Linked DNA regions of Oryctolagus cuniculus. The protein of the gene in region 2 purifies or fractionates together with the protein of the main gene of each other region. This does not show direct contact. Links are inferred from orthologs where the notes say so. Each region holds a gene or a part of one and is shown on either strand. Other genes may lie near its edges.

Region 1 (2,985 bases), about 7.2 Mb from region 2:
AGCCATGCTCCTCTGCTTTCCCAGAAGCCAGTTCACCCGCCCTCTCCCCAGGGGCTCAGGCTGGACAACGGGCAGATGAAGGCAGCCCAGGGGCCCACTCAGCGGCAGTGCAGGCCTTTGACTGGACTGCTGTGGCCCTGGCCACGGAAGGCTGGGATCCGGCTTCCACCCCCAGCAAAACCCTTTCCAGCTCTCGGGAACCCTGCGCTGGGGCCTCTCGCGGCACAGCCATGAGCTCCGGGACCCCCGAGTGCTCCCGGGCCGTCCAACTCTCCTCCCGGCGCAGCAGCCGCCCTCACGGGCACCGGAGGCGGCGGCGTGTCTTCCTGCCAAGCACACGGCCCACTTCTAAACCCGCAGCTGCTTCAGGATTCTGGCCCGTCTGGTCGGCTCACCGGTCCAAGGGACACGACACAGGCGGGGCAGTGCTGTCCTGAGCCTCACCGCCAGGGAGCCTTGCTCTCTCTGAAAATCCTGTACTAAGAACCACGACACGCGTATTTCGAATACAAAAAAAAACGGTTTTGTTGTTTCAGTCCCGCTGTGAGAAGGCGCAGCGCCCTGTCCATCGTCTCCGGAGTCACACAGATCCCGCGCTCCGGACCAGGCCGGCTCAAGTCCTTCCCAGCTCGGGAGTAAGCAAGCAGCCCGCGGCTTCCTGCGCTGGCTTCTGGCTGGGGACTGGAAAGATCGTCAAACGTTCGTCTGTCGACAGCCGTTCCAACGCAACTGTCCATCTCCGCACGCTCTGTCCGCTCGCGGCTCCACTTCGCCCGCCGGCTCAGGGCAGGGCGGCGCCCCTGCGGCGGGCGGCCCGCACCAGGCACTGCTGCAGCACCGGGTAGAGTCGCTGGCAGCCCTCGAGGCCCAGCCGCACGGCTTCGGCCCAAGTCTCGGTCGCGTCGCCCTCCCCGCTGCCCAGCAGCCCGGCCACCTGGTTGAGCACCGGCATGAGGGCCACGGTGAGGCCGGCGGCGGCGCGCTCCTCCTCCAGCCGCGTCGGGTCCAGCAGCCAGGCGGGCGTGGGCCCCTGCGCGCGGCTCAGGCCGCAGCCCACCACCAGGTCGTACATCTCGACGCCCGCGTCGGCCAGGGCGAGGGCGGCGGCCGTGAGGGCGGCGGCCAGCGCCGAGCCGCCGTCCTCCAGCAGCAGCGCCGACACCTCGAGCTGCGCGCGCGGGTAGCGGCTCAGGCGCACGGCCGGCTCCAGCGCCTCCTGCAACGCCAGGGCCAGCTCGCGCTCCTCGCCGCCGCCCGGAGGCGCCCGGCGCCGGCGGCCCGAGAAAGGCGCACGGCGGAAATCGCAGACCAGGCGGCCGCGCAGCGCGGCCGGGGCCTCGCCGCCGGCGCCGGCAGGGCCGCTCCCTCGCTCGCTGCCCTCGACCTGGCGTGGGCCCGACACGGCGCACAGCACCTTGGTGCCTCCCGCCTCCAGGTAGGCCGAGCCCTTGGCCTGGCTCAGCAGCCCGGCGCGCGCGTACACCGGCCGCAGCCGCGTCGGGTCTCGGGCGGCGGGCTCCTCTTCCTCGTCGGCGGCGTACAGCTGCGGCGGCTGCGACTCGTCTGGTCCGCGGATGCGGCGGTGGTCCCCGGGCATGGCGGCACCTGGCGAGCACACCGCTTCCGCCCGTCGTCCTACCGCGCGCTCCGGCTCTTCCGCCCGCTTGAAGACGCGCGCTCGCGCGGGGGCTGTCGGGAGAGCCGCAGGCAGTCGCGGCTGCACTGCCCCCTGGCGCCGTGGAGGGAGAACGGCTGCGGCGCCAAGGCTTTGAAGCCGCAGCAAGGTTGCCCAGGGCTGGACGGGCCGGTTGACTGTCTCCCAGGCCAGGTCCTACCCGAGCGCTTAGTCTTCTCACTTATGCAGGCTGTAGTTATCTTAGTTTTGCACTAATCTGTGGGACTATTTTATATGTCCCCACCGGGGAGTTGGCCTTGCTCACTCCCAAGCCCCTGGCTGGCACGAAGGCCTATATGATGGATGGAATCTCTCTCCAGCACTGGCTTTATGTAAGTCTCTTTGTATCATTAACACGGACATCAACACCCCCTTTCTGCCTCCCCTTCCCACCCTGAGAACCGCCCCTCACCCCAGCATGCACCTGCTTTTCCTTCTCCCTCCACTGTCAGCAGCACCGTGACCTGGGCTCTGGGGCCAGCCGCTGTATCCAGAGGACAGGACATCCGTTGGGGCTGGCACAGGCAAGCAGTACCTTCACCTTCCAAACTCTGCCATTTTAGACTTGGGGAAACTGGACTCAGAGACCGGCCAGTGTCTTTGGGTCAAGTGGGAGTGATGGGCAGACACTAGAGTAGGAGGCAATAGCTGCACCTTAAACATCTTCTGTACCAGAGACTGCCCTCCAGCCTCATACCCTGACCCCACATGAAGAGCTTCAGAGGGAGGGGAGGGACATGAGCCAGAGCCGCCGCCTGCAGGGCTGGCATCCGATGTGAGCACCAGTTTGAGACCAGCTGCTCCAATCCAGCTCTCTGCTATGGCCTGGGAAAGCAGTGGAAGATGGCCCAAGTGCTTGGGCCCCTGCACACGCGTGGGAGACCTGGAGGAAGCTCCTGGCTTCGGATCAGCACAGCTCCGGCCACTGCAGCCCTTTGGGTAGTGAACCAGTGGATGGAAGACCTCTCTCTCTCTGCTTTTCTGTAACTCTGCCCTTCAAATCAATCAATCTTTAAAAGAAAAAAACAATGGAGGTTCTCCAGGCGCACCTTTGCTTTGTAACCCCTCGGACCACTGAATTATTAGAGCCTCTCTCTCCATCTCACCCCCGTCTCCACAAACACTGAGTTCAAGGGTTTAGGGCTGGACTGAGCTGGAGTCAGCATGTTTTACACACCCTCGGGTAGCCAAGAGCTGTCAGCAGGGGTGCATGCTGGGAGGTAATGACCAGAAGGCATCAATGAGTATTGCACATGGTCCTTTATTCTCTGCAGCACAAGTGCCCACCTGCAGACCCAGAAGCCTCGGGT
Region 2 (3,957 bases):
GGTCAAACTCATCAATCCTGACCAACTGACCTTTGATCTCCCATTATGATCAAGTAGCTGTTTTTTATGATACATTCTGTAGATCTGGAAATGACAGAACACCCTGTGAATATGAATCAAGCTTCTCCCAAACTCTCCTAACCCCCCAGCATCTGAGAACACACGGCAAAGCCAGTGGTCTAGCCTCCACTCAGAACTGAGGCCCACAGCAGGCTGGATGTGTGCTGCAAATATAGTTTTCCTGTAACATAGCCATGCTCATTTGGCCTAGTTCACAAGCTTAAAAACATTTACTATCTGACCCTTCACAGACAAAGTTCAGGGCCAGCGCTATGGCGTAAGGCATAAAGCCACCACCTGCGGTGCCAGCATCCCATATAAGTGCCAGTTTGAGTTCTGGCTGCTCCACTTCTGGTCCAGCTCTCTGCTGTGGCCTGGGAAAGCAGAAGATGGCCCAAGTCCTTGGGTCCCTGCACCCGTGTAGGAGACCCAGAAGAAGCTCTTGGCTCCCGGCTTTGAATCGGCCCAGCTTTGGCTGTCGTAGCCATTTGGGGAGTGAACCAGCAGATGGAAGACTTTTCTCTCTCTGCCTCTCAAATAAATCTTAAGAAACAAACAAACAAAGAAGTTCACCAAGTCCTGTCCTAAGACTCCAAAAGAGTTAAAATTGCAAATACACATCCTCTCTACAATCACTGGGTCCTACTAGTGACTTTCCACCTGTATCCTTCTTTTTCTACTTCCCACCAAGAGCTTCCTCCTCCAACAGTTAACTCAATCAAAAGAGTTAAAGAACACTGAAAACAAATGAGTCAGTGCTCTCATACTTGCCCTCTACTTGGCTCTAGCTGAACAGTTACGGCAGCTATAATCATATCCGGGGCACAGATGCCCCATGCCTTCACGCAGGACACTCCACTCCATCGGCATGTTTAGTGTCTCCTGCCATCCTATCAATAAGCTCTTTCTTACCAATGACCAAAGCTGCTAACCCCAAATAGAGAATGTGGATAATTTTTTTGCCCTCTCCTCTGCTCCTACATCCAGTTAAGTCTTCCTCTTCCCTTCTGCTTGGATGGGGGTAGTAACTGTTTTAAGTTCATTTCCTTCTTGTTAACTGCAGAGTCAGCTCTTCAGACACAGCCCTAGTTCACCAGCACATCTTCACTTGGCCTATTACAAGAACTAAATGAAACACTAAAATCTTTTCAATGTGTGCTCAATCAACTCACTCCATTTCTCTGAAATCGACGATTACAAACCACCAACAAAAGAAAAGTCTATTCAGTCAAGACTCACATGTTGCTCACATGTATGAGACAACTTTACCAGCTGTAAGTTACGCAACAATTTGACTCCATCCAGTACTCATCCTGGTACATCCTGAACGCCAGTCACACCTTGCACAAGCGCTGTTTACTCTCCATTACTGATGCCTTGTTTTTCCTGGACATTCCAGCACTATATAGGCACGACATCTAACAGTCTGCATCCAGAAGTAGTGACAGGCAGCAAAGGGTAGTACTTAAGATCAGGGGTTCAGGACCTGGATGCCCAAGTTAGTACTCAGTCACTGTGTAACTGCGGTAAGTTACCTACTGCTGTTTGGTTGCCTCAGCTGTACAAGAAAGATAATGGCTGTAGCCACCTCAGAGGGTTACTATGTAAATTACATGGGCTAATAGATAGATGCAAGACACTTAAAATCCACCTGGCACACAGCAGAGACTAAGAGCCATGAATGAAGTCTTCAGGCTTTGCTGCTTCCCTGTGGTCATTCCCGGGTTCGTTTTATCCACTGCCTCCTTTTTAACTTTTCCACTATGAAATTACAATTAGGTTGACTCCATTTCAAATATAAAAATCACTTCAGTTTCAAATCCAAAACCCGATTTAAAACGGGGTGACACAACCCACCCTTTTCACCTCATTCCCACCTCCCCTGCGACCCTCACCCCTTACTCGGCTCACCAGGGCTTCTAGCGGGTCTGACTCCACTGTTGCCCCTTGCCTGGCTTTCCCCCACCAACGTGTTCTCCCCAGGACCAAAGCAGCCGGAGAAGCTGACAGCTTCGCGCCCCATAGCTTCCCCGGCTCACAAGACGAACGGAAAACCAGTCTTCACCTGGCCCACAACTCCCTCCGTGCCCCCAGGCACTCCGAATTCCCCTCGGCTCCTACGAGTGCACACATTCCGCTTTTCGCTCTCGCCGCTCGCCCTCCCGACCTCGCTTTCCTCTCGGTTCAGGACGCGGCATCCTCGCCGCACACTTCCGGCCAGCAGCCCCCGGCGCCCAGCGCCTCCCGACCCTGCCCTCGGAACGCCGTGGGCTTCCTGCCTGCTTACGGAAGTGCCGGCTCCTGTCCGCGGGCTGAAGGGGCGAGTCTGGCTAAACGGGGAAGTTCAGTTCCCGGTGCCAGCGCAGGGGCAGGCGCTCAGGGAATGAATGACCCAGCAGCCGGCAGCCCCCCTGGGCCCCCCGCTGGTGCTCTCCGTACGCCCGCTGCCGGCCCGGGCGGGTCTGGAGGACCGGAGTCCCCTACTGCCCAGCCCGGCTCCCCCAGCATCCCCGCACCTTCATGCGCAGCAAGTTCTTGGACAACTTGGTCTTGCGCTCGGCCGCCATGCTGGCTCCCGCGGGGCGCCGCGCGTGCGTGCTGCCGCGTGCGCGCTGCGTCGTCGTACGTAACGTGCGTCGCCCCGCCCCCAGACCTCGCGCTCCGGCGCGGGCCGGGCGCTGGGCGCCGTCCCTCAGGGAGGGTCCCGCCGCCTGAGGCGCTCTTGGTAAGGCGGCGGTTCGGCGACGCGGGGCCGAGAACGGCCGGTACCCGGTGGGCGGACCCCCGAGAGACCGGACACGGAAGGGGCCCGTGCGCCCGTCCCCGGTGACTTGGGCCGCGCCGCCTCAGGGGTCCGCTTCCCGCCCTTTGTGGCCCGAGGGAGGCCTCTGGCGTGTTTGCCATCTAGTCGTCTACACCGCTGTCTTCCACTGCTATCCCAGGCCGTAGGGAGAAAGCTGTATCAGAAGTGGAGCAGCCGGGGCGCGAATCAGCACCCACGTGGGTTGCACGCGTTGCAGGCTGTGGCTTTAACCCACTGCGCCACAGTGCTGACTCCGAAGAGACCCTATTCTAATCCAAGCAATTGAAAAATGAAAAGCTCTGATGCTCCGTTATTTGCCACCCGAAGTCTATGAATTTTTTTCCCCACATCATTCTCAGGTCCCACACTTTGGGAAACATCTAACCTCGTAGAATTTCAGCTAATCACATGCAGTATCTGTGAAACTCTTGAGTTGGGTACTTTACCTGATTATTTTATTTAGTCCTTTGGAGAAAATATTGTTGTCATTGTGTAGTTAGGGACTCTCAGACCCAAAGAGAAGGGATTCCCTGGAGTTTGCACAGCTGCTAAATGTTAAAAAGTTGAGCTTTGCAAAGCGTTTTGAGTATTAAAAGACCCTACAGGTTTTTTTTTTTAATGGAATAAATAAAGTTATAATGTGCCCAATAATCACAAAAACTTTCATTCACAGTTCACTGAGACACTGCTGTACATTAGTGCATAAAAATACATGAATTCCTTTTCCTGGAGTTGACACCCTGGACGTTAGTAAGGGGTGAGTACCATGGGTGAAAGCAAACAGTGATGTGATAGAGTGACTTTTAGGCTTCTTTCAACCAAGGTGGTCTGGGATGACCCTTACCAGATGATGATACTGAGGCTTGAAAATTGAGAAAAACCTATTATATGAAGAGTTGGAGGAGGAGTGCACTCAAAAGAGGGAACAGAAGTTATGAAGGTCTTGAGAACGAGACAAAGGCCCTCTTACCAGAGTTTGCCAAGTGGGAACAATAGAGTTGAGCATGTCATAGGCTGGATTGTGTCCCCCCAAATTAATATGCTGAAAGTCCTCATTCTTGGTACTTCCAGCTGTGACTGTGACTGGGAGACTG
Region 3 (3,500 bases), on a different chromosome or scaffold from region 2:
AGTTCATAATGACCTATGGGTGGAGAAAGGGAAAAGCCTGGATAGTGCAAGGAGCATGAAATGGGTGGGAAGAGGGGCAGGAGAGGGGCAGGAAGTGGCCCCGAGGAGAGCAGAAGGCCTCCAGCCCCATCCTGCAGAAGCACAGAAGTGTGGCTCTGCCTTCAAAGGGTGAGGGGGTGAACAGGGGGACTCAGCCTCCCTGGAGTGGAAGCCCCCTTGACATCACGATTTCTCTGCTGCCCCAAACACTAGATTATGAAATCTTAATCGATGGGATAAATCCCCGGAACCGCGCGCTCCACGGAGACCGGGTAGCAGTGAAAATGTTCCCTGAATCACTCTGGAAAAGGAGAATGGGCGCGGATCACGAGGGCTACAGTGAATATGTGCCCACAGGTGAGCCAGCGATGCCACCCTGGCATCCAACCTTTGTACAGAATTGGGTATTTCTTTCTCATTAGCAATCCAAGAATAAGGAATTTTATTTAAAGTGGCAGACAAATTGTGATGTATGTACATATTGTAGAATGGCTGCATCGAGGAGGTAAACGGCATGGGACACATGGTTACCACTTTCCCCAAACAAGTTCTCATTGCATTCCAGCCTGTGCTCTGTTCGTTATTCAAAGCAGCTGCCACCTCCAGCCCTTTTGCATACCACATCGAAATACCTGGGTTCAATATAGGCTCAGATTCCAGCTTCCTTCTAATACTTGGGAGGCAGTGGTGATGGCCCAGGTCAGGTTCCTGTCACCCGCATAGGAGACCTGGAGTGAGATTCTGGCTCCTTGCTGTCCCTAGCCTTGTGGGTATTTAGGAGTGAACTAACAGATGGATGTGAACTCATTCTCTCTGCCTCTCTATAAGCATATTTAAATAGTTTAATTATTTTGAAATGAAAAGTGATAGTTCTATGCCAAGAACTCCATCAAGGTCTCCTACAGGGGTTGCACGTGGGTCATCCTCTGCTGCTTTTCCTGGGCCGTTAGCAGGGAGCTGAATCGGCAGCCAGGGCATGAACAGGCAACCGTGGGATGCCTGCTTGGCAGGCTATGGCTTCACCCAGCTATACCACAGTGCTGGCCGCAACAAGTTTATTTCTTCAATAAAAAAAGGGTGAAAATGATTTGACATTTCCAAGATACTGAAACCCGAAATCAGTGAGGTAATGGTAAAGGAAAAAGCAGGACCACTGGATTCCAAATGTCACCTCCGAACCCATAGAAAACTACCAAAATTATCCATGTAAAAAAAATCGGGCATCTACATCTTTAAAATTGCTAAGAAGGCAAATCTTCAGATTCCCTTGAATTAAGTGAAAGTGCTTGGAAAAATGGGACAGGGACAGTTAGATGGCAGCTAGCTGGCTAACCCTTGTGATTTGTTTTCCACAGGACATGTGGTGGGCATTACTCAGAAACATAAGCGGGATTACATAGTAACATTCCCATCAAAGGAAGACATACTATATTACAGCAGAAAAACAAAGAAATACCTTGCTGTGCCATGGGATTATAGGATCCCCAGAATTCGAATCAGCAGGAAGCAAGCTGAAAAATATCAGGTAAAGGACACTGCACCATGGCTGCCCTGCTTCTGTCTTTGCCAGCTTCTTGATCAGTGCCAGAAAGCATTGTTAATTCCTTTGCTCATAAATTATGGATGGCATCTGGCACTCCAAGGTACTGTTGGTTAAATTCTAAATATATAGGTACCATCTATTAAGTAGTCTAAGGCTAATAAATGAAGGCTTGAGTGTCCTAGAAAGCACTCTGTAGGACAGCCAGAGAGAAAACACATTATTCTGACCAATGGAGAAGCTTCCAACAGCTGTACCTTGCCAACACTAACTAGCTTTCTTCCAGCAAGCAAGGTAGAAATACAAGCCCTGTGCCTTGTAGGGATGATGTGGAAGCTCTTCAGAGAATCGATTATCTGTGAAGGAATATAGGTGGGAGGGAAGACAAGACTAGGCACTGTCCAGCATCACCTGCCTCCAGCTATGCAGCCCACTAGCCTGGTCATTGTCTCTTGTACACCTTAAGCCCTGTTACAGGCTCCCAGAGGCCTGTTTCAATGGCTTGCTGAAACTGCTAGACAGTGAGGGTCCTGTTGACACTGATGCCCCCACCCAAAAGGACCTTAAAACTTCGAAATACCTCCTACAATCTGAGACCTAGGTTCTAGAACTTTCCCTGAACCCTGCACCATTGTGTTCACAGCTTGTGCTGCAAGTGTGCACCATACCATCTGGCAAGTCAAACTCGCCAGCAACACACCACCCTGCAGACTGGCCACCCTCTATAGAACTGTCTCTGATCTCTCGTTAGCTAATGCTTTTAATAACCCACGGAACCCTGGATGCGAGGCTAATAATTTATGTACCTTCTCCTGCAGTTTTGCAGAGCAATTATACATATTGATTCCTGGGACACGGATTCGAGGTATCCAGACGGACACGTCGTAGGAACCCTGGGAACAGGCGGAGACCTGGAAGGGGAAATGAAGTCTCTGCTCATGGAACATGACATTTCCGAGCGGCCCTTCTCTGAAGCCCAGGTCAGATTCCCGGAGGCCTTTGGTCTAACGACAGACACGTTATGCACACAGCGACCCACTGTGAAGCCACAGATAACCCTCGATCAGACCCAAGTCAGTTTGAAGTGTAGCTCTCAAATCTGTATGTCCTACAACTATGTTTCAAAGTGGCAGGTCAGTGTCTCACGGTCAGGATAGGTCCACCTGGCAATTCGAGGATAGCTGGTTGTATCCCCAGCAGAGCCCCATCTACCCATCATTCAACCCCAGCAACAGGATGCATGTCTGAGCCTTAGGTCTGAAAGCAATGCTCATTATGAAGCTTTCTTAAACTTTACAGAAAACAGAAAGCCCACAAACACAACACATTGGCTTTTCCATCACTTTCACATCATTAGAAACAGATAATAAGCTATTCTCTTGAATGTGCTATTCACTGATAGGCTCTGCCAATGTGTAATAATTAAGCAAAAGAAACCTACTTGGTTTTAAAAGTTGATGGTAAATTACTGTATTTGTGCCCCTGCATGCTCAGCCATTTGGCTATTTGCCTGTTATTTCTATTCAGTATAGAATGCTACTTCTCATTTATAGCAACATTATACGTTAATTTGGTCAATCCTTCCCTTGGTAATCTCACGGTAAGGATTACCTTTTCCAAGTCAAAGGGCATAGAATGTTGAAGTAGCTTTGTTACTTGTTGGCAGACTGTTTCCCAGCTTGCACTGCCATTAGGGGTATGAGTTTTTGGCTGATCCAGAGCTATAATTGTCAAATATTTGAGACTGCTTTATGTCGTTTAAATTTTCATGTTTTACAGTAGTATTTTGTTGACTTGTTTGGCAGCTCTTACAGAATGATTCCATAAAGTGGGTTTAGAGGTCACAGGACAAGAATTCTCTCTTCCCTGTTAGCCTCAACTAACTGCAAGCTGATGGTCAAGACAGGGACAGGGAGAGAAA
Region 4 (4,284 bases), on a different chromosome or scaffold from region 2:
TTTGGTCTGGCCTAGACCTGGCCATTGCAGCCATTTGGGGAGTGAACAAGCAGATGCAAGATCTTTTCCCATCTCTCTCTCTCTAACTCTGCCCCTTCAAATAAACAAATAAAATCTTAAAAAAAAAAAAGACTCGGCCGGCGCCGCGGCTCACTAGGCTAATCCTCCGCCTGTGGCGCCGGCACACCAGGTTCTAGTCCCAGTTGGGGCACCAGATTCTGTCCCGGTTGCCCCTCTTCCAGGCCAGCTCTCTGCTGTGGCCCGGGAGTGCAGTGGAGGATGACCCAGGTGCTTGGGCCCTGCACCCCATGGGAGACCAGGAGAAGCACCTGGCTCCTGGCTTCGGATCAGCGCTGTGCGCCGGCCGCAGCATGCTAGCTGCGGCGGCCATTGGAGGGTGAACCAACGGCAAAGGAAGACCTTTCTCTCTGTCTCTCTCTCTCACTGTCTACTCTGCCTGTCAAAAAAAAAAAAAAAAAAAAAAAGACTTTACATTTAATAGGAATTCCAGAGAATAAAGTCTTTTGCTTCTCTGCAGAAAAAGGCCGCAGCCACAGATGTTCAAAATTAGGTCTCCTTTTCACCCATTTCCTAGATGTTGGAGGGAACCACAAAGTCAGGGAATCGGCTCAAATAACTATGCATACCCAAATTTTGTTCATTTTCCTAGAAATCTCCAGACCACTCAGTCCAGTGAGACATTCTGTGATGATAGAAATACCATGTGCTGACCAAATTAGCAACCACTAGCCACAGTAGCTACTGAGAGCTGGAAATGTGGCGAGTGGTTAGTATGCTTAATGAAATGTTAGTACTGTCTAGCATATTTTGAAATATTTATTTGAGAGACAGAAAGAAAGAGAACACTTCCACCCACTGATTTATTCCTTAAGTGCCTGCAGTGGCTGAGGCTGGGAGTCAAGTACTTAATCCAGGTCTCCCACATGGTGGTAGTAGCCTAACTACTTGGGCCACCACCTGCTGCCTGCCAGAGACTGCATTAGCAGGAAACTGAAGTCAGCAGATGGAGCCAGGGATCAAACCCAAGCATTCCAACATGCGATACAGGTACTTCAACGATGTCTTAGCCGCTAGGTCATATGCTTGCCCTGACACTGTTAAATTTAAATAGCCATATGAGGCTAGTGGCTATCAGACTGGACAATGCAGTTCAAGAATGATCATGCTCTGTGCACTGGGTTGGTGTCCTAAGCATGGAGGCTGGTAACAACTTACCTTACATGTTACAATAGAGCCCACATCTGGAAGTAATTGGGATTCCGCTTCTCTCATCACAGACACTACCGGGAGCTACAAAGAGAACAGTAAAAAATGAATGTTCTGGCTAAGCCCTGAGTAAAGTGTGGCTGGAGAGTTCGACAGGAATGCTGTGGCACAGAGTTGAGGTCACAAGGCAGATGGACTATGGATTCATTTACAGTCCAGGACAGAGGGTCTTCCATTAGGAAGAGCCCCGGGGGCCCTGGCAAGGCTGCTGTAGAAGACATAAGTTAACCATTCCAGAGCAGAGTTGGTTTTTTGGTGACTTGGAATTTCTCAGTACACCACTATATTACCTGTAGCCATGGATTTGATTCTGACCTCCAAAGTCGCACTGTTTCTATTTCTTATTTTATTGCCCGGCTAACATTTCTAAGTGTTTTATAATACTGGATACTGGTTTCCTTCTATCTTTAGAGAATATCTGTAGGGCTTTCTTTCTGAGCAAGCACGTTCTAATTCTGAATCCTTTTTCTCCTGTGCTACCCATCTTTAAGCTGCTCCTTCCAAGACTGCGTATCTGATCGGGAGCTGGTCCTGGTTTGATCTCTGGAACTGGCCAGGACAACATCGCTCATGTATTCAACTGACCATCTGCCTTGTGCCGGGCACTGCAGGTAAGGTGGGTGGTGCGGCCTGCTTGCGTGGAACTTTGGGCGTTTGCAGGCTGAAACAAGTGCTCGGAAGTGAGTTTAACAAAATAAAAACAAGACTCAACCTCCCCCACCCCCACCCCCGCCAAAATCCCTTCCAAAAAGTGATACGAGAGGCTAGTTGAACGAGGTCAGAGTTACATAGACCGAGGAGAGGCGCGCGTTCAGGCGGATGGCAGGAGACACGGGGGAAGCAAGCCAACTGCACTGCGGGCAGTGCCGCCGAGCCGGATGAAGACGGACAGGTCGGGACTACTCGGGCGGGATTCGGCTGGCTGCCGGATTGGCCGGGGTCACTCTCAGCTCGCAGCTGCCCCTAGGGGTCGGCAGCCCCAACCGCGCGAGGTCCACACGACCGGTGTGCGGCGCCCACGGCCAACCGAGACCAAGTCGTTCTACAGGGACGCGCCTGCCCTACCCGGGCCTAAGGGCCGGAACTCAAGGGCAGTCCATGACAAAGAAGGGAGATGGCCAGCCGCCCCGCGTACCGCGCCGTTCTCGCTGGTCTTCGTTAGACAGCCGGCGAGGGAAGAAAAGATGTATCCGTGCCGTGTGTAGGTGCCGCTGCCTGGGCTGCCCTCCTCCAAGTTACACAGACGTTCGCCTGCGGAAAGAGCGCTGCATCGGTCACTGGTCCCCAGAGGCTGCTAGGCGTCCTGCCTTCCTGCCTCTGGCCCTAGCCGGGACTCCGTACGGGAGCCGTGCACTTACCGGGGATGCAGTACCTTACAGGTGGCGCCATGACTGCCACTGTCCCAGAGCCCGGATGGAAACGAAGCCGACGTCTCGTTGGCCGAACCCAGACACAGTGCTGCAGTAAGGAACGTGCCAATTGGCGGGCTTTGTCACGTGCCCGGCGACACGCCTCCTGCAGGGCAAACTCCATTTCCCAGGTTTCCCCGGGAGAAGGCCGGGGGCGGAACTTCGGGCTCGTGTGCCTGCGCCTGCGCCTGCGCCTAGGGTTGAGGATGGGCAGGCGGCGGGTCCGGGTCCATTGGCAGGCGCTGCGGCTGGCGGGGCATGGTGGGACGGATTGAGCCAGGCCCGCCCGGGGCGCCAGGCTGGAGTAGGTGGCAGTGAGCTGCGGCCGAGGCTGCGGGGCGTGATTTGGATGATCGAGGAATTGGCAGGCGGCAGGTAGGGGCGAAGCCGTGGCCCTTGCTCCCTCTCATAGCCCCTGTTTTGTAGGGTCGGGCCCTGCCCCAGGGCCCTGTCTTGAGTCTGGTTTCTTGCTCTCCTCGCCCCGCCCTGCAAGGCCGAGCAGTCCTCGGGCGAGGCGCACCCTCTGGGCAACCATAACGCACAGAGCAGAAGTTAACCAACCCAACTTGCCCATTTCTCAGATTTGGAAATCCAACGCCAGGGTTTGACTTGTCCCGAGCCTTGAAGATAATTCAAGATAGAGCGCAAGCCGGATCCAAGCTTTCGGCTTCCAGTGCATCGCGGTTTGACCATGCCGCCCTACCTGAAAGATAAGGCTCGTTCTGCAGCTGTAGTTGTCCGGGCCCTTCTTTAACTTTTGACGAACTGACCCGTGAGAAAGTTGCTACCCTTTCTCTTAGCGGGTTAGCCAGGAAGGGAAGTGGGCACGTGAGTAAGTTGCTATTCTTTACTGACTTCTGACATCTCTTGCATGAGCTTGCACACATCCTGAGAGCAGCATCTTTGTCTAGATGAGATTGGCACGACTTTGATATTTTTTTAAATTTATTTGACACAGAGACAGAGATCTTCCATATGCAATGGAAGCAGGATTTTTTTTTTTTTAATTAATTAATTTGAAAGGAAGACATGGAGAGGAGGAGAGAGATCTTCCATCCACTGGCTCATTCCTTAAATGGCCGCAATGGCCAGGGCTGGGCCAGCCAGGAGCCAGGAGCTTCTTCCGGGTCTCCCACGTGGGTGTAGGGACCCAAGCACTTGGGCCATCCTCTGCTACTTTCCCAGGCGCATTAGCAGGGAGCTGGAATGGAAGACTGAGAATGAGAGGCCAAGGAGGGTGTTAATCACTGCCAGACGCCTGCCCCTGACGTTGGCTGCTTCATCTCCCTTCCAGTGGCTTTGGAATCTGTCCCCTCGCCTCCCCCCATTGGTTTCCCCTTGGGAACAGATGGCGCTTTAGAGCCCTGGGAAGAGGGAGGTGCCTTGGCCTGTAGTCTCCTGTAATATGATGGCAGATGGCCACGAGAGCCTGTGGCTGCTGCTGACAGGAGGACTCCGGTTGGTGCTTGGTGCAATAGTAGAACTGCCCTTTGCTCTGTTCCCTTCTCTCTGCACTGAGATTGCCCCTTCCTCAGACGCACATGATGTTTGGAATTTTGCTTCGCCTCGGGGGAGAAGTCCATTTCGT
Region 5 (4,285 bases), on a different chromosome or scaffold from region 2:
CTGCCGCCGTATCCCCAAGCACGCTCTCCATTTATGCCTTATTTGTTGCTGTTTAAGATTTATTTATTTATTTCAAAGGCAGAGTGACAGGGAGACAGACAGACATATCTTCCATCCCTGGCTCACTCCCCACATGGCTGCAAGGGCTGGGGCTGGGTCAAGCCAGGCCAGGAGCCCTGAGCTCCACCAGGTCTCCCACGTGTGTGCAGGGCCCAAGCCCTTGGGCCATCTTCTGCTGCCCTCCCAGGCCACAGCAGAGAGCTGGATCAGAAGTGGAGCAGCCGGGACTCTAACCTGGGCTGGGATACGGGCTGCTGGGGCCTCAAGCCATGGCCTAACCCCTGGTGCCGCAACACTGACCCCACTCCTTGTCTGCTGTTGTGCTAACGTATTCCTTTTTCTTTTTCTTTTCTTTTTTTTGACAGGCAGAGTGGACAGTGAGAGAGAGAAAGGTCTTCCTTTGCTGTTGGTTCACCCCCCAATGGCCACCACGGCCGGCGCACCGCGCTGATCCGATGGCAGGAGCCAGGTGCTTTTCCTGGTCTCCCATGGGGTGCAGGGCCCAAGCACTTGGGCCATCCTCCACTGCACTCCCTGGCCACAGCAGACAGCTGGCCTGGAAGAGGGGCAACCGGGACAGAATCCGGCGCCCCGACCGGGACTAGAACCCGGTGTGCCGGCGCTGCAGGTGGAGGATTAGCCTAGTGAGCCGCGGCGCCGGCCAACATATTCCTCACTATCTGTGTCTCCCCAGACGCCAACTCCGCCAGGACAGAATTCATTTTGTTCACTGCTACACCCAGACCACACGGACTACAAATATATGGCGAAAGTACGAACACAGGAATGAATTTTAACATTTCGGAGATTCCAACAACCTCAAACTTGGGGTGGGGCCAGCAGGTTGGGCCTCCGCCTGCAGCGCCGGCATCCCATGTGGGTGCCAGTTCAAGTCCTGGCTGCTCCACTTCCCGTCCAGCTCCCTGCTATGGCCTGGGAGAGCAGCAGAGGAGGGCCCAGTGCTTGGGCCCCTGCACCTGCCCGGGAGCCCCGGGAGAAGTTAGGGGAGTGGTGGTGGGCGTGCAAGTGTTCAGCCTGTAGCTAAGAAGCCGGCCTCCCACATCTGGTGCCTGGGTCTGACTGCTGGCTCCGGCTTCCTGCGAACACAGACCCGGGGAAGCGGCAGTGACAACTCAAGCGACTGGCTCTCTGCCACCCACGTGGGAGACCCACGTTGCGCTCCTGGCTCCTGGCTCCAGCCAGAGGGTTGCAGGCAGTTGAGAAGTGAAACAACACTCTGTCTCTCTCAAAAATAAATAAGCAGGGGCCGGCGCCGCGGCTCACTTGGTTAATCCTCCACCTGTGGCACTGGCATCCCATATGGGCACTGGGTTCGAGTCCCAGTCACTCCTCTTCCTGTCCAGCTCTCTGCTGTGGCCCGGGAGTGCAGTGGAGGATGGCCCAAGTGCTTCGGCCCTGCACCCCATGGGAGACCAGGAGAAGCACCTGGCTCCTGCCATCGGATCAGCACAGCGCAAGGCCCATGGCGGCCATTGGGGGGGTGAACCAACAGACGAAGACCTTTCTGTCTCTCTCACTGTCCACTCTGCCTGTCAAATAAATAAAAATAAACAAATATTGATGCTGAAGATGATGTACACCCGGCAAACGTGCATTCCTACAAAAAACCAAGAGGCTGAAACACTGCCAGTGCTTATCTCTGCCGGCGATCTAACGGTGAGTCTTGTATCTTTCCCATCCGACCCTTCAGTAACTCCCGTCAGAAATTCTTACAGATCAGGAACCGGACCTCTGATAAGGTGACTGGCAGGCGGGGAGCCCCCCTTGTCCCCCAACTACAAGGCCCTGCACTGCCCTGCGGCACAGCGTGTATTCATGCAAGGTAGTTCATGCAACCTTGAGTCTTCCTAAGCCCACACAGGAACGACCCCTACCCCGGGCCCAAGCTGGGTGGGGGGCTCAGGGAGGAGGAGGGAAGCCAAGTCTGCCCTCCGTCCGCCCCCGGCTGGGAACCGCAGGGTCCCCGACTTACCGCCCCCGCCCCCGCACACCGCCGGGACCCGCGGAGTCCCCTTCCTCCCGCCCCCGCCCCCAGACACCGCCGGGACCCGCAGAGACCCCGACTTACCGCCCCCCGCCCCCGCCCCCAGACACCGCCGGGACCCGCAGAGACCCCGATTTACCGCCCCCGGACACGGCCGGGACCCGCAGAGACCCCGATTTACCGCCCCCGGACACGGCCGGGACCCGCAGAGACCCCGATTTACCGCCCCCGGACACGGCCGAGACCCGCAGAGACCCCGACTTACCGCCCCCCGCCCCCGCCCCCGGACACCGCCGGGACCCGCAGAGTCCCCCTCCTCCCGCCCCCGCCCCCGGACACGGCCGGACCCGTAGAGTCCCCTTCCTCCCGCCCCCAGCAAGGAACGCCCAGAGATCGGCGCTTCAGACCCCCAGAGTCGGGGCCGCCAGAGTGCAGGCGAGGCGGCGTCAGGGACTCGTCTCGCAGACGACGCCGAGGGGCTGCCCTGGGCCCCGGTCGGGCCCGCAGATCACGTGCAGAGCCCTGCGGCCGCCCCCTGCACCCCGGGGCCCCCCGTACCGCATGAAGCCCGTGTCCGTGGTGATCGTGTCCCCCGGCACCACCAGGTGCTTCTTGGTATCACGCCCCAGACTCTCGCTGGGAAGCTTCCTCGCCACCGGAAGGCGCATCTCCATCGCCATCTTGGCGCCAATAACCTGCGCAGGCGCAGCTCGGCCCGGAGCCGCGGAATTCAGCCCGGCAACTCCGAGAGGGGCGGTCTGGGGCGGGGCCTCAGGGCAGCCGCCAATGGGAGCGCACGGTGTGGCAGCCATGTTGACTACTGGCAACCGTTATGTTAACCCGAAGGGGAGGAATGCGGAGTTTCCACGTTTATTACTGGCAAGGGTGCACCTGTGGCGTGATGGCATTCCACAAGCTATTGTTTGTGGCTTTTTATCAAAGCTGTCTGGTACTGCCATCCTGCTTATTGTTTACCAGCGTTAGACGTAATTGAGGAATGGGCCTCTGAGTTTCCGTCCAGCTCTAAGCCGCTAAAATCTGATTTTTGTATGACAGCGCCCAGGAGGACACGATTTCAACAGAAAGCATAGCCATACTTTCTTTTTTTCAAAAGATTTATTGGGACTGGCGCTGGGACGCAGTGGGGGTAAGCCGCTGCCTGCAGCGCTGATTTCCCATTGGGCGCCCAGCTGCTCCACTTCCCATCCAGCTCCCTGCTGATGCGCCTGGGAAAGCAGTGGAAGATGGCCCAAGTGCTGGGGCCCCTGCACCCTCGTGGGAGACCTGGAGGAAGCTCCTGGCTTCGGCCTGGCCCAGTTCTGGCCCTTGCAGCCATTTGAGGAGTGAACCAGTGGATGGAAGACCTCTCTGTCTCACTGTCTCTCTGTCTCTCTCTCTCTCTCTAACTCTGCCTTTCAAATAAATAAATGCTTTTAAAAAGACAGTGTTTAAGGAGCCAAGCAATTTCTAAAGCAGTGTTCCAAGTTTAGGGAAAAAAGATTTATTTGAAGGGCAAAGCCACAGGGAGAGACAGCGAAAGATCTCCCATCTGATGGTTCACTCCCCAAGTGGCCAGAAACTAGGAGCCAGGAACTCCCCCCACAGGTCTCCCATGCAGGTGCAGGGGCCCGAGCACTTGGGCCATCCCCTGCTGCTTTCCCAGGAGCATTAGCAGGGGGCTGGATCGGAAGTGGAGCGGCCGGGACTTGAACCTGCACCCACATGAGATGCCAGAATAGAAGGTGATGGCTTAACCCATTGTGCCCTGGCGCCAGCCCCAAGCGCCCCACTTCACACTGTTCCCAGTGGCCCCAGTCGGTCAGAACAGCCGCCTCACGGCTGCTGGGTCAACCCAGCCCGCACCCCCACCCACAGGCAGCACGCCGGACACTGCTGAGCCAGCTGACTTCTCTGAAAAAAGAGAAAGAGAAGTGAAGCGAAGCAGGCCACACCCCGCGAGGCAGGTGTGTGTGGTGGAGAGGGCAAATGCGCACACACAACCAAGGCCTGCACCTGCGTCTGTGCCCACAGCAGCCTCCGCCCGCGTGCCGGGCACTGCCTGTCACGTCACAGGAGTCCCTGCCGGTGGAGCGATGCCTGTCCCGTGTGGTCTTATCTGCCACTCCTGCTTAAAGGAGCTGTGCCTCCCGGCCCCTCCTCATCCCCTCCCCCTCCCTCCTCGTCCCCTCCCCTCCCCCACCTCCCTCTGCCCCTCCCTCC
Region 6 (4,230 bases), on a different chromosome or scaffold from region 2:
TCAATTTTCTACACATTTATGCAGATTACATACCATCACTCACTATTAAAAGGCATCACCAAACACTTCCCTCAATTTCTTAACTGATATATTATTTAAAATTAAGGATGAGGATTGAAAAAGTTGCTTCATTTTAGTACATTTGACAGATTTGCGTAAGAGTCATTAAACTTGAGTCATATGATCTAGTACTCACTGGTAAAAGCTTTTTGAGCAACTAAATACTAAAAAACATACCTGAATGCCTAATCACAGAGGTATAGGTGTATATTACAATTTAATAAATACAGGAAGCTAATTTGGTAGCTCAAATCTCAATGGGACACATGTTAAACTTACTGCTTTAATTCCACAAATTACTGTAGTATTTCCCAGCTTCACTAAAGCAGAACCATCTGCAGTACTAATTGAACCTGAAAAGTAAACAGAATGATTAGTCTCTAAAAGGAAAAGTTACAGAATTACCTAAATAAGTATTAAAACTCTGTGTCTCATGTTTGCCATGTGTAATTATCTTGCTACGTATCTGTTGCTTGCAAAAACTGATTCCAAGTTTGAATAACTGATTTTAAAATGGTATAACAAATTAAATTAATGTTTTTAGAATTATTCACCTATCCTTGAATTTGAATCAATTTTTCAGTCTGAATAGTACAGAAAATCATTGGCCAGCGCCACGGCTCAATAGGCTAATCCTCCACCTGCGGCACCGGCACACTGGGTTCTAGTCCCGGCTGCCCCTCTTCCAGGCCAGCTCTCTGCTGTGGCCCGGGAAGGCAGTGGAGGATGGCCCAAGTCCTTGAGCCCTGCACGCGCATGGGAGACCAGGAGAAGCACCTGGCTCCTGGCTTCGCATTAGTACGGTGCACTGGCCGCAGTGGCCATTTGAGGGTGAACCAACGGCAAAGGAAGACCTTTCTCTCTGTCTCTCTCTCTCACTGTCCACTCTGCCTGTCAAAAAAAAAAAAAAAAATCCCTCGGATATGATAAATTTGGCTCAAAAACCATGTATGTGGTTCAGAAGGCTAAAACTTGCAAATGTCATACAGTTGTAGCTGGAAAACACATCCTCACCTATATTAACGGTTGTGGTTCTGAATTCACCAAGTTCTCTTCCATCAGGGCGACAATTCTCTTTCTAAATAGAAAGTTTACTTATAAGAGATTATGTTATATTGTCATGTGTATTTTACACACACCAGGGGAGACACATTAAACCCCATTAATGCAAATGAATTTAAATTACTTGGAATATGTCTTTAAAAGAATATTACATATTATATATACTGTAATAATATATTATCAAAATAGCACATACATAACCACCTTTACTCACCAGAAATCTTCTGTAATACTCCAAAGGTTCCACAGTTCTGAAACACGTTAATACTGAAGTAAATTAATGAGTCTTAACTGGCAAAGAATTTTAAAATGTGATACAGCATAAACCTCCACAACTTGTAACTAAGTTTCTTTTGCGCATTTTGATGTTCATGTTGCTGCCTGCAAGTATGGGGGAATCTTCAAAAAGTTTTAAAAAAAGTGTGTATTAGAAAAACTACATGGATTTCAAAATTTGGAGCATGAAAATAAATTTTTCTTTTATTTTCCATGAACCTTTTGAAGTAACCTTGTAATTATAAAAAGTATATACCCTTACAGTAGCAATCACACCCCATTGCTGCCTTTAACTGTCTTAAACAAACAGAGCACTGGAATCCAGAGTCCTTTGACATGTCTGAAAGAGGATTAATTTATGAGTTAAAATAATCATTTAATAATCACTTTTGCTCTGAGACAGGGATTCTTAACCTAGTGATCATGAAAAAAGCCACATCTTCATTTATTGTAACTGAAATTCAGCATACACTTTAGCATAGAGTTCAGTTATGACTGCAAACATGCAATAAACCATTATAATAACAGCAGTACCTACAACTTTAGCAGAGATAATGTTCTGATTTTTTACTTTCATGTGCATGTTGAGGTTCATCTTTACTCTGAAATTCCCGGAGTTACTGGACGCCCTACTACTTAAGAAAGCTAATTTTATATCCTAAAGAGTTTATAATAACTTCAATATGATTTGTTTCCTTTGGAACCCAGGGGCTGGCTCAAGTACTTGGGTTCCTGCCACCCACGTGGGAAACCTGGAGGGGACTGTCCAGCTCCCAGCTTCAGACATCTGAGGAGTGGACCAGAGGATGGATAGCTCTATCCATATGTCTCCCAAGTGAAAAAAAAAAAAAAAAAAACCTTAGAAAACATCTTACTCGGAGAGTCAATAGGCTTCAACAGAATAGCACCCAAAAAAGGCTTGAAGTCAAACCTTTTGAAGGACGCACAACCCTCGGAAACACACTACGCGACCCGGAGGACCGGGCACAGGGGGCTCGATGCAACAATCTTTGCGGGGCTACAGAACTGTCCCCCGGGTGCGCGTTCCCTGCACCGCGGGCTCACACGCGCTCCAGTCCCTACATCCCCAGTCTCCACTCAGGGGCACCTCCAGGTCCTCCCGCCTGTCGCCTGCTTTGGCGGGGAAAAAAACGGGACCTTGGCGGGGTCGACTTCCAGGCGAGAAAAATCTTAACTAAGGGTTGGGGAAACCCCCAAGCGCCAGAGTCCACAACTCGGGCCCGCCAGACACTGACACTCACTTGAACCCGGCCGCCATCTTCCCCGCGCGCGCGCCTGCGCCTGCGCCGCTCCGCCCACCGGCACGCGCGCCTGCGCAGAGCTCTCACGTCCCGGCGGTCGCCGGGGCCTTCCCGCAGCCGCTGGAGGTGCGCTTGGCGGCGCGGTATCGTGGTGGCGCTCGCTTGGCCTTGGCCTTCCCGAGCCGGATGCGCCTCTAGGTTTCCTTGCCTTGCACGTATTTTGACGAATCTGGCATCAGAGAAGTGAAAGGGTGTTCTTTAGGAAAGGTTGAGGGTTCAGAATAACGCCAGCAGTTTAAGAGACAACAGCTTATACCAAGGGCTGCACAGTGCGTGCGCAGCTCCCGTGTCTCTTCCCCATCTCAGGCGAGGCCCAGGTGAGGGGCTGCCAGCTCCTGCACCTCGGAAATGCGTGCTGCTCTCCAGGTTACACTGTGCAAGCCCAGGAGCTGGAGCAGTGTGCGTTAATCCACCATGTCCTGCCTCCCAGGCAGGGTTGCCAGGTCCAGTACAGGCCACCCAACTAAATCTGAATGAAGATTGGGAAAACAAGGTTGACCATTCTAGTAGGAGTGCATGTCCTTAGTTGTCAGTAGGAGCTGGGATGAACAGGGCAAGTTTTAGCTATAGACATGGTTGCACAGAGTTCCGAAGGTAATCAACACCACTCTACTGTGCACTCCACATGGTTAAAACGGCCAAATCTGTTTAACCTGAATTTTAAAATAGTAATAGAACCCATACCTCTAAATGCGTGGACTGCACCGTATGCGAGTTACATAGTTCAAGGCCGTTAAAATTATTAGTTGTTGAGCTGAAACTCAAGCGGACGTCTCGTGCACCTGACTTACCGAACGCAGCTCGCCCTGCAGTCTGCGGCCTCTCCGCGGATGCAGCGCCTGGCCCAGCCGCGCGGCGCGTCCTCGCCGTCGGCGCCTGCCCGGGTCGCGGCCGGCCGTGGCCGCGCGGGGGCGCTGTGGGCGGAGGGCGCCCGGCCGCCGCGGCCTCTCTGGCGGCGGGAGGCGGGCCCGCGCGGGCGCACTTCCGCGTGTGTGGAGCTGCGGGATAGGGAGGGCGGCGGAGACGGCCCCGGCATGGAGGATGGCTCCGCTCCTGCTGCAGCTGGCGGTGCTCGGCGTGGCGCTTGCGGCCGCAGCACTCATACTGGTGAGGACAGGGGTCGGGAGCGGCGCGGGCCTGGGCTCCCCGTTCCCCTGCAGCCGCAGGCGCCCAGGGCGTCCGCTCTTTGGGTGCTGCGGCTTCTTGAACTAGTCCGTTTTCTCCCCGCTTGACTCCAGTTCCATCTCCTGGATTTCAGTTCCTCCTGTCCTTGGAACTCTGTGCCCGGGACCCTGTAAACTTTGCCACGTTGGACTCACCAACCCATACACTCGTCCCGGCCTTGCTCGCCCCCTGGTCCGAGACCCCCTGCCCACCCAGCTTGCCAGCCTCGACCTATGCTTCCATCTTCCAGACTTGCTTTTCCTGCACCTGCAGCCTCTGCAGTTCTGCCCTCACCCCACCCCGAGGGCGTTTGGACCCCCTAATATGTGCCCTGTGATCCTGATGG
Region 7 (3,500 bases), on a different chromosome or scaffold from region 2:
CAATGAGAGGGAGGAAGCAGAAAGCAAATCACAGTTCCTCACCCGGGCTGCCTGCTCCTCAGAACCATTTACTGCTCTCCATCGGGCAGATCCTGGCCAGGAGAGGCAGTCTGCTTCCTCCAGGAGCATCCACAGGAACCTAGAGAATGGGCCATCTGCAATTCAGACTAGTGAGAGCAGCTAGGAGGAACCAGAAGCCAGTTGAAATGGTAGCAACCGGCTGGAAGGATAACTGAGCAGAAAGGTGACCGTGGACAGCTCCTGACATCCAAGTGCAATGTTCCTGAGAGCTGGCCTCTGTAGGCTGCATGAGAATGGACAGACCTGAGCTGGCATTTTTAGCTATGTGATATTATGGAAGTCTCTTACTCTCTGAACTCCATTTGTCATCTCTCTCGAGATGACAGCAGGAGTGCTGTGAGGACCACCTTTTGTGTAACTCACCACCTGAACATGGGTTAGCACTGTACAAAGCGCGGACACGGTGGCAAGGGGAGATTGAGAAGAGCCTGTCTGTGGGCTGGCCCTTGGCTGGCATCTGGGAACTTGGCTCTCAGAGTTCCCAGTCAACAGCAAACTGATGGGGCAGTGCACTGTGCGAGACCATGCAGTACGGGTCATGCTAAACACCTGCTCTCCTAGGATCCGGAATCTTGGGATGCATTAAACAGAGGGTGTCTATGTGACCAGCACCCAGCAAAAACCTGGGGTGCTCAGTCTCACGGGGTTTCCTAGACACAAATGTCACAAGTAGCTGGTGTACAAGGGCACTTCGAAAAGGCTATAGGAAAATGGTATTAAAACATTGTGAGGGGCCGGCGCCGCGGCTCACTAGGCTAATCCTCCGCCTAGCGGCGCTGGCACACCGGGTTCTAGTCCCGGTCGGGGCGCCGGATTCTGTCCCGGTTGCCCCTCTTCCAGGCCAGCCCTCTGCTGTGGCCCGGGAGTGCAGTGGAGGATGGCCCAGGTGCTTGGGCCCTGCACCCCATGGGAGACCAGGAAAAGCACCTGGCTCCTGGCTCCTGCCATCGGATCGGTGCGGTGCGCCGGCCGCAGCACGCCGGCCGCAGCACGCCGGCCGCGGCGGCCATTGGAGGGTGAACCAACGGCAAAGGAAGACCTTTCTCTCTGTCTCTCTCTCTCACTGTCCACTCTGCCTGTCAAAAAAAAAAAAAAAAAAAAAACAAAAAAAAAAACCATTGTGAGGGGCTGACGCTGTGGCACAGTGGGTTAAGCTGCCACCTGTAACACTGGCAGCCCATGTGAGTGCTGGTTCAAGTCTCTGCTGCTCCACTTCCTACCCAGCTCCCTACTAATGCTCTTAAGAAAGCAGTGCAAGATGGGCAAAATGCTTGGGCCCCCACCACCCACGTGGGACACCTGGATGGAGTTCCAGGCTCCTGGCTTTGGCCTGGCCCAACCCCTGCTGTTGCAACCTCTTGGAGAGTGAACCAATAGATAGAAGATCTCTGTCTCTCCCTCTCTGTAACTCTTTCAAATAAACAAATCTTTTTAAAAAATTCTAAAATCCATGCAGTGTGTCATAATATGTATTTTCCACACACATTCTGAAGACTGCTCCTATTTTCATTGCTATCATAAATTGTAGCCAGGAGTGCAACTACGTGCTAAGCCCTGGCAGCCAGTCTCCAAACACGGAAGTGGCCCTGGGGACGCCCAGCGGAGCATCAACACCAAACACCCACATGGAGCAGGAGCTTACCTGCTTCAGGAAGGCCTGCTACAACCACCTGCTTCTAGAAACATGGTTATAGACAGAAGAAGGGACCAGGCCAGCAATCCAAAAACACTCCCAACCCCTAGAGGGGGAGATAACAAGAGGGAGAGAAATAACTTTTAAAAAGATTTATTGAAGAGGCAGAGAGAAAGAGACAGAGAAGCACACTATCCCATTAGCTAGTTGATTCTTCAAATGCCTACAAGAGCCTGGGCTAGGCCAAGGGTGAAGCTGGGAGCCAGGAATGCAATCCAGGTCTCCCATGTGGGTGGCAGGAACCTCATTACTTGAGCCATCACCACAACTTCCCAAGGTCTGCACTGGTGGGAAGCTGGAGTCACTAGATGATTAAAACAAGGGCAAGGCTCTTGAGAACCCGGCAGGTAAGACGAGGCAAGTGAATACCTGCCAGATGGCCGAGCGACAACTAAATGCAAACCAAGAGCATGCGCCACAGGAAACCAGGGGTTCCCATTCTCCATCTGTACCCGTTAAATCACCCCCTCTGAAAGCACTGCATTAGTACTGACCAGTCAACAAAGAACTCCACGTAGCCCTCATCTGGCTTCTCCAGCTTTGGCGTCCCCATTTCCGCTTTCACTCCCACCAAGATGTCGGTATGACCCTGCAGACACAGACGAGAAGGGTCCTCACTGGAGGCAGGCAGCCAGGCACCCAACCACCAGCCTCCTCTTCGGGACATGTAGCCCTGAAGGACTTGGCAGGTGACTTCCGAGGAGGGGAAGGGTGTTTCAGATCTGAATGGACCCCCCTCCCTGAGCTGGGCTTGGACCTTGGATGTCCCCAGGAGCAAGCTGCATTCCAAAAGCCGCAAGGGCTCCTCTGCACTGGCTCCCTGGGGCCTACCCATGTCTCCACCTGGGAATGAACTGTGGCCCCAATACTCACCAGCTTGACCCTGGCAGACCCACTGGTGTTGGACACCACATCGGTTTCCACTTCGACACATCGGTAGTCTTCACAGCCACGGCCATCCACACGGAGGTCTTCCTGAGTGCAACAACCACAGTCCTAAAGCTGTGACCCCAAAATGACCGGACTCCTTGACCCATCCGCTGCTGTCTTTCCGCTCGAGAAGTATACAGTGCTTCTCCCTTCCTCTTAGTGGGACATCCAGAATTCCGTCCTCTGAGCTAATATTACCATAAGGGAAATGGAGACGTGGGGGGCACTAAGAGTCTCACTGCAGGTCCTTCAGCTGGTGTGTCTGGCACTGCAATTCACAGGATGAACCACCACCAGAATATGGACCCAAAAGTCAAACCCAAACAGGTTTGGAAGCTTTTTTCTTTTTTTCAGAAAAAGAATCATTAGTTTATAAGTTATTCAAAGGAGCTGATGTACCACCAAAACATAAAAAACAAAAAAAAAACCTCCCCACCTGCCCAAGGCCAGCATTGTGACATAGCGGGTAAAGCCACCACCTGCAACACCAGCATCCCATAGGGGCACTGGGTCTAGCCCCAGCTGCTCCACTTCTGATCCAGCTCCCTGCTAATGCACCTGTGAAGACAACCGAATGTGGCCTAAGTGTCTGGGTTCCTGCCACCCACGTGGGAAACCTGGCTAAAGCTCCTGGTTCTGAGCTTTGGCCTGACCCAGGCCTGGCCATAGTGGCTTCTGGGGAGTGAACTAGTGGATGGAAGACCTCCCTCTCTAACTCTCCCTCTAATTATGACTTTGAAAATAATAAATCTTGGGGCCGGTGCTGTGGCGCAGAGGGTTAAAGGCCTGGCCTGAA

Evidence for each region.
Region 1: the proteins of MPHOSPH6 (region 2) and EXOSC6 purify together in Homo sapiens (affinity purification with mass spectrometry; 3 studies listed by BioGRID and IntAct, with this or other methods). This does not show direct contact. The link is inferred for Oryctolagus cuniculus from reciprocal best matches to the Homo sapiens genes MPHOSPH6 and EXOSC6.
Region 3: the proteins of MPHOSPH6 (region 2) and DIS3L purify together in Homo sapiens (affinity purification with mass spectrometry; 3 studies listed by BioGRID and IntAct, with this or other methods). This does not show direct contact. The link is inferred for Oryctolagus cuniculus from reciprocal best matches to the Homo sapiens genes MPHOSPH6 and DIS3L.
Region 4: the proteins of MPHOSPH6 (region 2) and EXOSC1 purify together in Homo sapiens (affinity purification with mass spectrometry; 5 studies listed by BioGRID and IntAct, counting the BioPlex papers as one, with this or other methods). This does not show direct contact. The link is inferred for Oryctolagus cuniculus from reciprocal best matches to the Homo sapiens genes MPHOSPH6 and EXOSC1.
Region 5: the proteins of MPHOSPH6 (region 2) and EXOSC2 purify together in Homo sapiens (affinity purification with mass spectrometry; 8 studies listed by BioGRID and IntAct, with this or other methods). This does not show direct contact. The link is inferred for Oryctolagus cuniculus from reciprocal best matches to the Homo sapiens genes MPHOSPH6 and EXOSC2.
Region 6: the proteins of MPHOSPH6 (region 2) and EXOSC8 purify together in Homo sapiens (affinity purification with mass spectrometry; 4 studies listed by BioGRID and IntAct, counting the BioPlex papers as one, with this or other methods). This does not show direct contact. The link is inferred for Oryctolagus cuniculus from reciprocal best matches to the Homo sapiens genes MPHOSPH6 and EXOSC8.
Region 7: the proteins of MPHOSPH6 (region 2) and EXOSC7 purify together in Homo sapiens (affinity purification with mass spectrometry; 4 studies listed by BioGRID and IntAct, counting the BioPlex papers as one, with this or other methods). This does not show direct contact. The link is inferred for Oryctolagus cuniculus from reciprocal best matches to the Homo sapiens genes MPHOSPH6 and EXOSC7.

The regions. Positions count from the first base shown.
Region 1 is NC_091449.1:56,939,879-56,942,863, reverse strand, and holds EXOSC6 (exosome complex component MTR3), read right to left. Parts: upstream 1,672-2,985; 5' UTR 1,598-1,671; coding exon 782-1,597; 3' UTR 501-781; downstream 1-500. UniProt on the Homo sapiens protein: Non-catalytic component of the RNA exosome complex which has 3'->5' exoribonuclease activity and participates in a multitude of cellular RNA processing and degradation events.
Region 2 is NC_091449.1:64,159,174-64,163,130, forward strand, and holds the start of MPHOSPH6 (M-phase phosphoprotein 6), read right to left. Parts: upstream 2,801-3,957; 5' UTR 2,628-2,800; coding exon 2,577-2,627; exon of another isoform or gene 2,348-2,576; intron 2,337-2,347; exon of another isoform or gene 2,126-2,336; intron 1-2,125. UniProt on the Homo sapiens protein: RNA-binding protein that associates with the RNA exosome complex. Involved in the 3'-processing of the 7S pre-RNA to the mature 5.8S rRNA and play a role in recruiting the RNA exosome complex to pre-rRNA; this function may include C1D.
Region 3 is NC_091443.1:89,283,800-89,287,299, forward strand, and holds part of DIS3L (DIS3-like exonuclease 1), read left to right. Parts: intron 1-252; coding exon 253-396; intron 397-1,394; coding exon 1,395-1,564; intron 1,565-2,397; coding exon 2,398-2,559; intron 2,560-3,500. UniProt on the Homo sapiens protein: Catalytic component of the RNA exosome complex which has 3'->5' exoribonuclease activity and participates in a multitude of cellular RNA processing and degradation events.
Region 4 is NC_091446.1:32,396,791-32,401,074, reverse strand, and holds the start of EXOSC1 (exosome complex component CSL4), read right to left. Parts: upstream 2,801-4,284; 5' UTR 2,677-2,800; coding exon 2,646-2,676; intron 2,539-2,645; coding exon 2,423-2,538; intron 1,312-2,422; coding exon 1,237-1,311; intron 1-1,236. UniProt on the Homo sapiens protein: Non-catalytic component of the RNA exosome complex which has 3'->5' exoribonuclease activity and participates in a multitude of cellular RNA processing and degradation events.
Region 5 is NC_091432.1:233,342,137-233,346,421, reverse strand, and holds the start of EXOSC2 (exosome complex component RRP4), read right to left. Parts: upstream 2,801-4,285; 5' UTR 2,746-2,800; coding exon 2,624-2,745; intron 1-2,623. UniProt on the Homo sapiens protein: Non-catalytic component of the RNA exosome complex which has 3'->5' exoribonuclease activity and participates in a multitude of cellular RNA processing and degradation events.
Region 6 is NC_091440.1:77,082,283-77,086,512, forward strand, and holds the start of EXOSC8 (exosome complex component RRP43), read right to left. Parts: upstream 2,801-4,230; 5' UTR 2,678-2,800; coding exon 2,661-2,677; intron 1,390-2,660; coding exon of another isoform or gene 1,374-1,389; coding exon 1,337-1,373; intron 1,139-1,336; coding exon 1,075-1,138; intron 414-1,074; coding exon 340-413; intron 1-339. Other genes in the region: ALG5 (dolichyl-phosphate beta-glucosyltransferase), read left to right, coding at 3,551-3,827. UniProt on the Homo sapiens protein: Non-catalytic component of the RNA exosome complex which has 3'->5' exoribonuclease activity and participates in a multitude of cellular RNA processing and degradation events.
Region 7 is NC_091441.1:102,789,516-102,793,015, reverse strand, and holds part of EXOSC7 (exosome complex component RRP42), read right to left. Parts: intron 2,750-3,500; coding exon 2,648-2,749; intron 2,364-2,647; coding exon 2,269-2,363; intron 1,821-2,268; exon of another isoform or gene 1,724-1,820; intron 1,718-1,723; exon of another isoform or gene 43-1,717; intron 1-42. UniProt on the Homo sapiens protein: Non-catalytic component of the RNA exosome complex which has 3'->5' exoribonuclease activity and participates in a multitude of cellular RNA processing and degradation events.